2 linked regions of the Solanum lycopersicum genome follow. The protein of the gene in region 2 interacts with the protein of the main gene of each other region in a pairwise test. Links are inferred from orthologs where the notes say so. Each region holds a gene or a part of one and is shown on either strand. Other genes may lie near its edges. The genes, in order: rop guanine nucleotide exchange factor 1 and receptor-like protein kinase FERONIA.

Region 1 (4,338 bases), on a different chromosome or scaffold from region 2:
ATGAGAAGTTGATTACAAGAACCAATCCTATTCGAAAAATGATGTCCAAATAGAGATAAAAGAAAAAGGCTGCTATTAGTGGTATATAATTTAATAATTTCGCCAATTTTATTTGAGAGTGTAGAGCATAGTTTAGTCATTAAAATTTTGTTAGATGACTTTCCATAAGCACGCCGGACAAACAAGGGTCCATCACGCCAACTGCAATCCGACCTGCCATTGTCACGTGCAATCGCAAGCCCCTAAAATGGAGTAGCACACTTCAATTCATCCTATTTTCCTCCGGGTCAAAAACTGACGTCGGAAAAATCTCCAATCTCACCGCCTCTGTCAATATCATATCTTAAGCTTAAACTGGAATGTAAAATCAAAAAATTCCCATATTTTTTCAGTAAAGCGAATAAAATCTCCCCAAAAAGAAATAACTTTCTCGTGAATGCAAGTATCTCTGCATAAGAAGGAAAACGAAGCAGACTACAAAAAGTTTCAAATTCCCGACACAGCTGTAATTATTTTCATTTAATTAAGCAAACCGAACCAGTCTAATCTTTTGGACTACCAGAGGGATGTGTGTGCGCCAATTTTAGTAAAAACACATTCATTTGATATAAGCACCGACGCTAGCAAATATATTATACTTATTTTAAAATTTATCAAATTAGAATTTTTTAGCAATTTGTTTCGGGGATTTAAATAAGTTAAATTAGCGTAGCTGTGGGACTCTCGCTAGTATTGACCTCCTGGACTAGTATCGATGGTGGCTCCATACGGGTAGACGTAGGCCCTGAAACCATAACAAAGACAAGACAATTACAGGGAGGACGTACGTGTTCTCGGGCGAGTGCAGACTCGGTTAGTATACAAGATCATCAACAGAGTAATAGGATGCATCTGCTGAAGCGAAGACTCATGTAACAACAAGCTGGACCGAAGCTCAGCCATAGTTGGTTTTGGTCGTTGAAGCTTCGCCGTAGTGACAAAGCTTTCATAGTCCGGTCAAAAACATACGTGGTATGGTATCACACTCACATGGTGCATATTATAATCTTGATAATTCACTCCAATCCTATTTTATATAAGGTAATTGTACTCGACATAGAATTTAAGAAGGAAATAAAATTTTTTAAAATTTGTGATTTTAAGTGAATGATAAGAATTTGTTTTATTTCAAATCATTTCATTAAAAATAAAGTAAATATTTTTTTATTTTAAAATTAAATTGTTACTTAATAATTCAAAATGTTATTAAAATAAATTGAGACGAAAAAATAATTAATCAAAAAATTTGATAAGGTCAAAATAAATAATATTATGTCATGAGTATTATTTATATTTTAAAACTCATTCTTATAAATTTCACACCATATGTTATTTTCAAAAACATGAGTATGATTTTTCCCCAAGTCATCAAAATATACTCGTATGATATGCGTTAAATTTTCCGTAAATCATCAAAATCCCAGTGGCAAACTGCAAAGGCAAATGCTCCCAAACGAAGAAAAGGACCAAGTCGGGTAGTAGGTATCTTTTTGTCGTCAACTCCTCAACTAACGCCGTTCTTTTTCACCCAACAGACGCCCTTCAAACTAACGCCGTCTAATCGTACGGTAAAATTTCCCACGCACCACTCTTTTGTCACAGTATTTTTTTTTTTGAGAGAGAAACAGCTACTGTAATAGTAGTACTGTGTGAACTGCGCTTTGGTTTGCTTTATCTTCTTTCTGCTTTTTCACCCTCCACCATTTCCTCTTCTTTCTCCTTCACAGCCATATCTGATAAGCTCTGTCTCTCCCATTGTCGCCATTTGTTTTACCCTTTTATTTGCAATCATTATGAAGCTCATTTGCATCTAGGATCTTCTTATTTACTACTTTTACTAAAGCATTTTCGAGTGCTTAACGATGGGGAGTGTATCATCTGAAGAAGGTTCTGATCAGCAGAGTGAGAGATGTGGAAGCTACAGTTTAAGTGCTGATGTCAGTGAGTCTGAAAGTTCTTCAAGCAGTTTCTCTTGTCGGCGCTATGATGCTGAAGGCGCATCCAGTTCTATGGCCTCTTCGCCGCTCCCTTGCCGGAGATTCACTGCCAAATCCGAGTTTCCCACACCAGTGCTACCTCCATTTATGTTCCCGGCGATTGGCGGGAAAGATGTGGTGCTCTGCAATGACAAGTCTGAGAAACGCCAGGCAGATTTATCTGGTTTGTGCATTTTTTTGGTTTTAGTTTAACTATGCGATTTCACGCCAATCCGGTAGAGATTTATGCAAGTTTTATGTTTGATATCTGTACTGAGCTTCAATATTACCTTCATTGACCGGATTTGTCATTGTGCATCTGTTGGTATTTTTGGACATTTGCTGCTTTTTTCCCCTTTAGAATGTGGGTTATCGTTTCTTGACTTTTAGGTTGTGTTTGATTTAGAAATTGATCTGATGAAGGAGAGATTTGCCAAGCTGCTTCTTGGTGAGGACATGTCTGGAGGGGGTAAAGGGGTTTCTACGGCACTTGCAATCTCAAATGCTATCACAAATCTTTCTGGTTAGTATAACTACGTCTTTCCTTTGAACTCAAAGAGTAATTTCATAAAAGATTGCACATCTGATTTTTTATTGAAATTGGGTTTTCTTGTATGATAACTATAGCTACTATATTTGGAGAACTATGGAGGTTGGAGCCACTGGCCCTACAAAAGAAGGCAATGTGGTGTAGGGAGATGGAGTGGCTGCTATGTGTTAGTGACTCTATTGTGGAGCTTGTGCCTTCCATTCAACAATTCCCTGGAGGAGGCACATATGAAGTAATGGCAACAAGACCACGTTCTGATTTATACTTGAACCTGCCTGCTCTAAAGAAACTTGATGCTATGTTGATTAGCATTCTCGATGGATTTCGTGACACAGAGTTTTGGTATGTGGATCGAGGGATAGTTTTAGCTGAAGGAGATGACTGTGACTCTTTTCCTCCTGGAATAGGGTTTGGTAGGCCCTCAGTTCGACAGGAAGAGAAATGGTGGTTGCCTTGCCCTAAAGTCCCCCCAAAAGGGTTGTCTGAAGAAGCTAGGAAGAGAGTGCAACAGTGTAGGGATTGCACTAACCAGATACTGAAGGCAGCCTTGGCAATCAACAGTAATGTGCTCGCTGAAGTGGAGACTCCAAGTGCCTATATTGAAACTTTGCCCAAGGTTTGCATCCTGTTGAGTTTACTTAAAGTAGAAGTTATAGTTATATTTAGTGAGAGTTTTTTGTCCAAAAAAACTGAGCTGCCATCTGCAGCCTATGTCAGGTTCTTTAAATAATTCTATATCTTGACTTCCTTTGTTTTCCTTGCCTTCTTCATTGCACCAATGGTTAATGTTGCTGTATCTCTTATTTAGTTCACTTGCACAAAATGAGATGAAGTATGCTACAGTTGTCTAATGTAAGTGGCTAGCTCAACATTTATGTTTTTGATAAGAAAATATGGTAAGAGAAAACAAAGTAAAGTTTCCTTATTAGATAAATAATCCGTAAACTTAAATTTCAGAGACTTTGTTCCCTTTTTCCCCGCATTCCATATTTGTTATCCTCGTATGGGTATTCTGATATCCTCCCAAGGACAATTTTAGAGTACTTGTTTGATGAAAAGAAATGCTGTTTACTTGTCAATTGCAACTGTTCATTTCTTGAATTGTTTCTTAATTTCTTATTGCAGAGTGGAAAAGCATGTCTAGGTGATATCATCTATCGTTACATCACTGCTGACAATTTCTCACCTGAATGTCTTCTTGATTGCCTGGACTTGTCATCAGAGCACCATACGCTGGAAGTTGCAAATAGAATTGAGGCTGCTGTGCATGTTTGGAGACTGAAGGACCAGAAGAAACATCCACATAAAAGAAAATCTAAAGGCAAGTCATGGGGAGGGAAGGTCAAGGGCCTTGTTGCAGATGGTGGTAAGAATCAATATCTGGCAGAACGAGCAGAAACTCTCTTGCATAGTCTCAGGCTTCGCTTCCCTGGTCTTCCTCAAACTGCACTTGACATGAACAAAATACAGTATAACAAGGTAGGTGATACAAACTCACATGAAGACTAAATAGCAGAGTGAAGCAGATAGGGGGCATAGTGATATTTGTTTTGATAAGGGAGGAGTTATTATGAGATATTTCTTGCTTAATAATGATAAATTCTATGCAATAGAACGTGTAGGCAGTGGAAATTCTAGTCACAAGTGGTCTCAAGGTGTGAACTGTGAAGATGCCTTTATTATACTGTTAAGGAATTTCATTCTTGATTCTATTTCTATATTGCCGAATATTGATATTTTGTGAAATGTTTCTGATGGCAAGCGGTGGATAAA
Region 2 (4,602 bases):
TTATTCAGTTTACATGCAGATCAAATAATGCTCTTTTGTTTTCTACATTCTGCATTCATATTTAATTATTTTCTAATAATTTAACTTTAATTTGTCTGTAATACATTTTTAATTCAAGTTTAATTCATTTTGCAGTTTCTTATGCCTCTTCATTTGTTACGATTATATTACTTCTCTTCTAATAATTCATCTTTAATATGTTTGTAATACATTTTAATTAAAGTTTAATTCATTTTACAGTTTTTATGTCTCTTCATTTGTTACGATTATATTATTTGTCTAATTATCTATTAATACAAGTTTTATTCAATCTAGAATTATTGACTATTCTAAAAAAAAGGAAAAAAAGCAATAGCAAGAGAGGGAGAAAGAGCCAAAAAAAAAAGCAAGAAAGAAAGGACAAAAGAAAGAAAGAAAGAAACAAACAAACAAGAAAGAAAAAAAAGAAAGCGAGACACAGTAAAGGAGAAAGAAAGAAAGAAAAAGCGAGACAGAGAAAGATTGAAAGAGCGACACACAAAAGAAAAAAATTGAAAAAGTTGCTATAAATGATAATAATTAAAGAGTATATTTAAAATAAGTAATTATTTTTTAAAAGGAATCCATTCACGTAATTAATCCAATAAATTAGTGGTAGGCCCCAGTGAGCACATGATTGACGGCTAAATAACTTGGCTATGGGACCCGTCTCCTTTATAACTTGTTACAACTTAGTAACACTCCATGATATTCAATTTATTAAAAAAAGAAAAAGAGCAACGCGTAAATGGCAAAATCACAATACTTCTTATCACCCTTTCGTACTTTGGGACAATTTGTGAAAATGATTTATTTGTACTTCCCTCAACAAATACAATTATTCTTTTTAATAATTAAAAAAGGGACTACCAATTTTATTATGGTTATTTAAATTAAATAATGATTCATCATATTTTTTGAAATAAAAAAATTATATTTATCTTGAAAATTAATGAGTATAATATATAAATATGACATTTAACTCAGTGACGGAGCAAGGATTTTCACAAAAGGTGTCCAAGTTCTAAAGTGAATTAGTTCTTTTAAAAAGGTGAAAAAATTGCTACTGTGAAATTCAAACATACAAACACTTTAAATTTGTGTATCTTTACTCTTTCAAGGCGCCTGAAAACCACTAGATTACATCATTTTGTTGTGTCAACGTGTTCATAATATATTATTTAGCCACTTAATTTATTATATTACTTGTATATACGGTATAATATTCCAAAGAAGAGTGTACAATTGGACACCCTGACACAAGTGTTGCTACGCCGCTGATTTAATTTAATTTCAGTTGACGTATATATGTTTTTTAACTTTGAGTGTGGAAAAATAGACACATTAATCCGATGTAACGTCCTAAATCACGATTTGCATCACGTCACGAAGGACATACATATTTATTTGATCGATTTTATATAAATTTAATTATCTACTTATTCAAATGCAAAGTTGACAGACATATATATATTAGTTGAGATCAAGTCATCTGTCATTTAACTTGATCTCAACTGATATTTATGCCTCCAACTTTTGATATGTATAAAGTCTACATTTAAATTTAAAAAAAGTTAAACAAGTAGACACTTGCACTCTACTTGACTTAATACACACATAAAATATAAATTGTCATGTATGACGTGTGTGTCTACTTATACAATTCCATAAAAGTTCATGCATATACTATTATACACACAAAATTTAAAGACATATATCAAATAATTTTAAATTAAAGAACATATTTATTGATTTATACATACGAATAATAGTTGTAACTAGAATATTATGTTGTATGCTTAAAAATAATTATTTCAAAATAATATGATTGGTATTATATTCCGTTTTAATTATGGTAGAGAGAAAAGAGTGGGAATGGGAGAAGGAAATAGCTATATATAATAATAATAATAATAATAAAATAGAATTGCCACCTCCCCATTTGGTCCCTACTCCAAACGCGTTTGTGCTTAAAAGAACTCACAGTCTGTCATTGACTGTCATTGAATCAGAAATGGCAAATTGAGATTTCAACGTTCTCTAAAGGGTATTACTGTCATATGCTTGCCGTAGTTGGGACTCAGTTATTTTCTACTCCATTTTCATAATCTAGATTAGTAGAGTTTTTAAGAGATATCAAGCTAACCAGCAACTACCATCTTCCTTCAATTTCACTTCTCCATTTCTCTCTCTCTCTAAAACTCAAACCCTATTCTCTCTCTTCTTTCATCTTACTGCTGCATTCAATTTACTTCGTTTGGTGTTTGTCAACTCAGCGATGGCCTGAAGTTTGCTGCTTTTGGATCTCTCTGTCTATTCCTCATCTTTAAGGTATTTTTTTTTGGTCTTCCTTTACTTGTTTATGCTTTTGTTTAGCTCCCATGATTTTGCTGTATGCTTGTTTTAGCTAGATCTTGATACTCTGGTTTCTTTATTTTGGACTGAGTGCTTTCAGCCTTTCATCATCTAGCTCCAAAGTTCTATTTATATGCAATTTGTTGCTACTTCTGCTGGGTTTTGGACTGAGTGCCTTTCATTTAGTTGTGAAAAACTTTTATCTGTCTACTTTATGCTATCCCCTGCTTCTTATACTGCATCCTGATGCTGGGTTTTATTTAGTCTTCTGGATTTAGTTGAAAAAAGGGATTCCGGATTTTGAGATTTATATTGTCCTTGTGTAATTAAAATTGAGGGGAGGTCAACTGATCTTTCTTTTTTCTTTTGTTCCAGTGATTTCTGCGGATTACTATAGGCTTGTGCAGCATCTATGGCAGACGACAGTAAATTCTGTTTTTTCTTTGTTTCGTCATTTTTGTTGTTGGCTATTGTGATTAATGTGACATTTGCTGCCAATTATGTGCCTGGTGATGATATTCTGTTGAACTGTGGCGGTCCTGACAATCTCCCAGATGCTGATGGTCGGAAATGGGGCACAGATGTTGGGTCAAAATATATGTTGGGTAGTAAGTCATCAATCTCTGATGCTGCTGATCAAAAGCCCTCTGTCCCTCAAGTTCCTTTTATGTCTGCCCGTGTATTCCAGTCTGAGTTCACCTATAGTTTCCCTGTAGCATCTGGTCGTAAGTTTGTCCGTCTCTATTTCTATCCCTCGTCTTACAACAAGCTAAATGCTACCAATGCCATCTTCGATGTGGCCTCCGGACAATATACCTTACTTAGAAATTTCAGTGCAGCACAAACTGCTGAAGCTCTCAACTATGATTACTTGACCAAGGAATTCTCAATAAATGTGCCATCTGAAACTTTGAACATCACTTTCACACCCTCTCCAAATACCTCAAACTCCTTTGCGTTTGTCAATGGGATTGAGATTATTTCACATCCTGATATCTATAACACAGAAGATGGAAATACCTTCATTGTGGGTCAGAAATCCCCTTTCATCATTGACAATTCTACTGCCTTGGAAAATGTCTATCGCCTTAATGTGGGAGGCAATGTAATCTCACCATCAGGTGATACTGGTATGTTTAGGTCATGGGGTGACGACTCAAATTATATTTTTGGAGCAGCCACCGGAGTCACCAATACTGCCGATGATGAGAATGTCACAATAACCTATGGTAATGGGCAGCCTACCTACATTGCCCCACTTGATGTCTATAAGACAGCTAGGTCAATGGGTCCAACTTTTCAAATTAACCAGCAATTCAATTTGAGCTGGGTTTTCTCAGTTGATTCAGGGTTCTCTTATCTTGTTAGGCTCCATTTCTGTGAAATCACTAGAAATATCACAAAAGTCAACCAGAGGGTGTTTATCATCTACATGAATAATCAGACTGCGGAACCTGCAGCAGATGTCATTGCTTGGGCTGATGGCAATGGAATTCCTTTTCACAAGGATTATGTGGTCTCTGTACCTCGTGGGGCTTCACAGCAGGATCTTTGGCTTGCCCTCCATCCAAATGTTGCTTCAAAATCCAATTGGTATGATGCAATTTTGAATGGAATAGAGATTTTCAAAGTGAGTGACACCAATAATAACCTTGCTGGGCCTAATCCTGTTCCAGTTGCAGAACCAGATCATATTGACCCTCTGCCATCCAAAACAGGTGAATCAAAAAATAATAAATCAGCTATTGGTGGAGGCGTTGGAGGAGGGATTGCTGCTGTAGTTCTTATTGGTTTAGTTGCATGCCTTGTCATGCACCGCCGGAATCGTGGGAAGGTCCAAAGTCCAAGTGATGGACCATCAGGCTGGCTCCCTCTTTCTTTGTATGGAAATTCACATACGTCTGGTTCTGCTAAGACAAACACTACTGGCAGTTATGCTTCGTCCCTTCCATCAAACCTTTGTCGTCACTTTTCATTTGCTGAGATCAAGGCAGCCACCAATAACTTCGATGAAGCACTGCTTCTTGGGGTGGGTGGTTTTGGCAAAGTATACCAGGGAGAAATTGACGGTGGCACAAAAGTTGCTATCAAACGTGGGAATCCTCTCTCCGAGCAAGGTGTTCATGAATTCCAAACTGAAATTGAAATGCTCTCAAAACTTCGCCATCGCCATCTTGTTTCTTTGATTGGTTATTGTGAAGAGAACTGTGAAATGATCCTAGTATATGA

The links.
Region 1: the proteins of receptor-like protein kinase FERONIA (region 2) and rop guanine nucleotide exchange factor 1 interact in binary tests that used the Arabidopsis thaliana proteins (3 or more experiments, as listed by UniProt). The link is inferred for Solanum lycopersicum from reciprocal best matches to the Arabidopsis thaliana genes FER and ROPGEF1.

What each region holds. Positions count from the first base shown.
Region 1 is NC_090800.1:94,187,931-94,192,268, reverse strand, and holds the start of rop guanine nucleotide exchange factor 1, read left to right. Parts: upstream 1-1,382; 5' UTR 1,383-1,901; coding exon 1,902-2,199; intron 2,200-2,421; coding exon 2,422-2,538; intron 2,539-2,642; coding exon 2,643-3,181; intron 3,182-3,690; coding exon 3,691-4,044; intron 4,045-4,338. UniProt on the Arabidopsis thaliana protein: Guanine-nucleotide exchange factor (GEF) that acts as an activator of Rop (Rho of plants) GTPases by promoting the exchange of GDP for GTP. Acts downstream of PRK2 in the control of polarized pollen tube growth by activating ARAC11/ROP1.
Region 2 is NC_090808.1:11,839,380-11,843,981, reverse strand, and holds the start of receptor-like protein kinase FERONIA, read left to right. Parts: upstream 1-1,594; 5' UTR 1,595-2,349; intron 2,350-2,748; 5' UTR 2,749-2,785; coding exon 2,786-4,602. UniProt on the Arabidopsis thaliana protein: Receptor-like protein kinase that mediates the female control of male gamete delivery during fertilization, including growth cessation of compatible pollen tubes ensuring a reproductive isolation barriers, by regulating MLO7 subcellular polarization upon pollen tube perception in the female gametophyte synergids.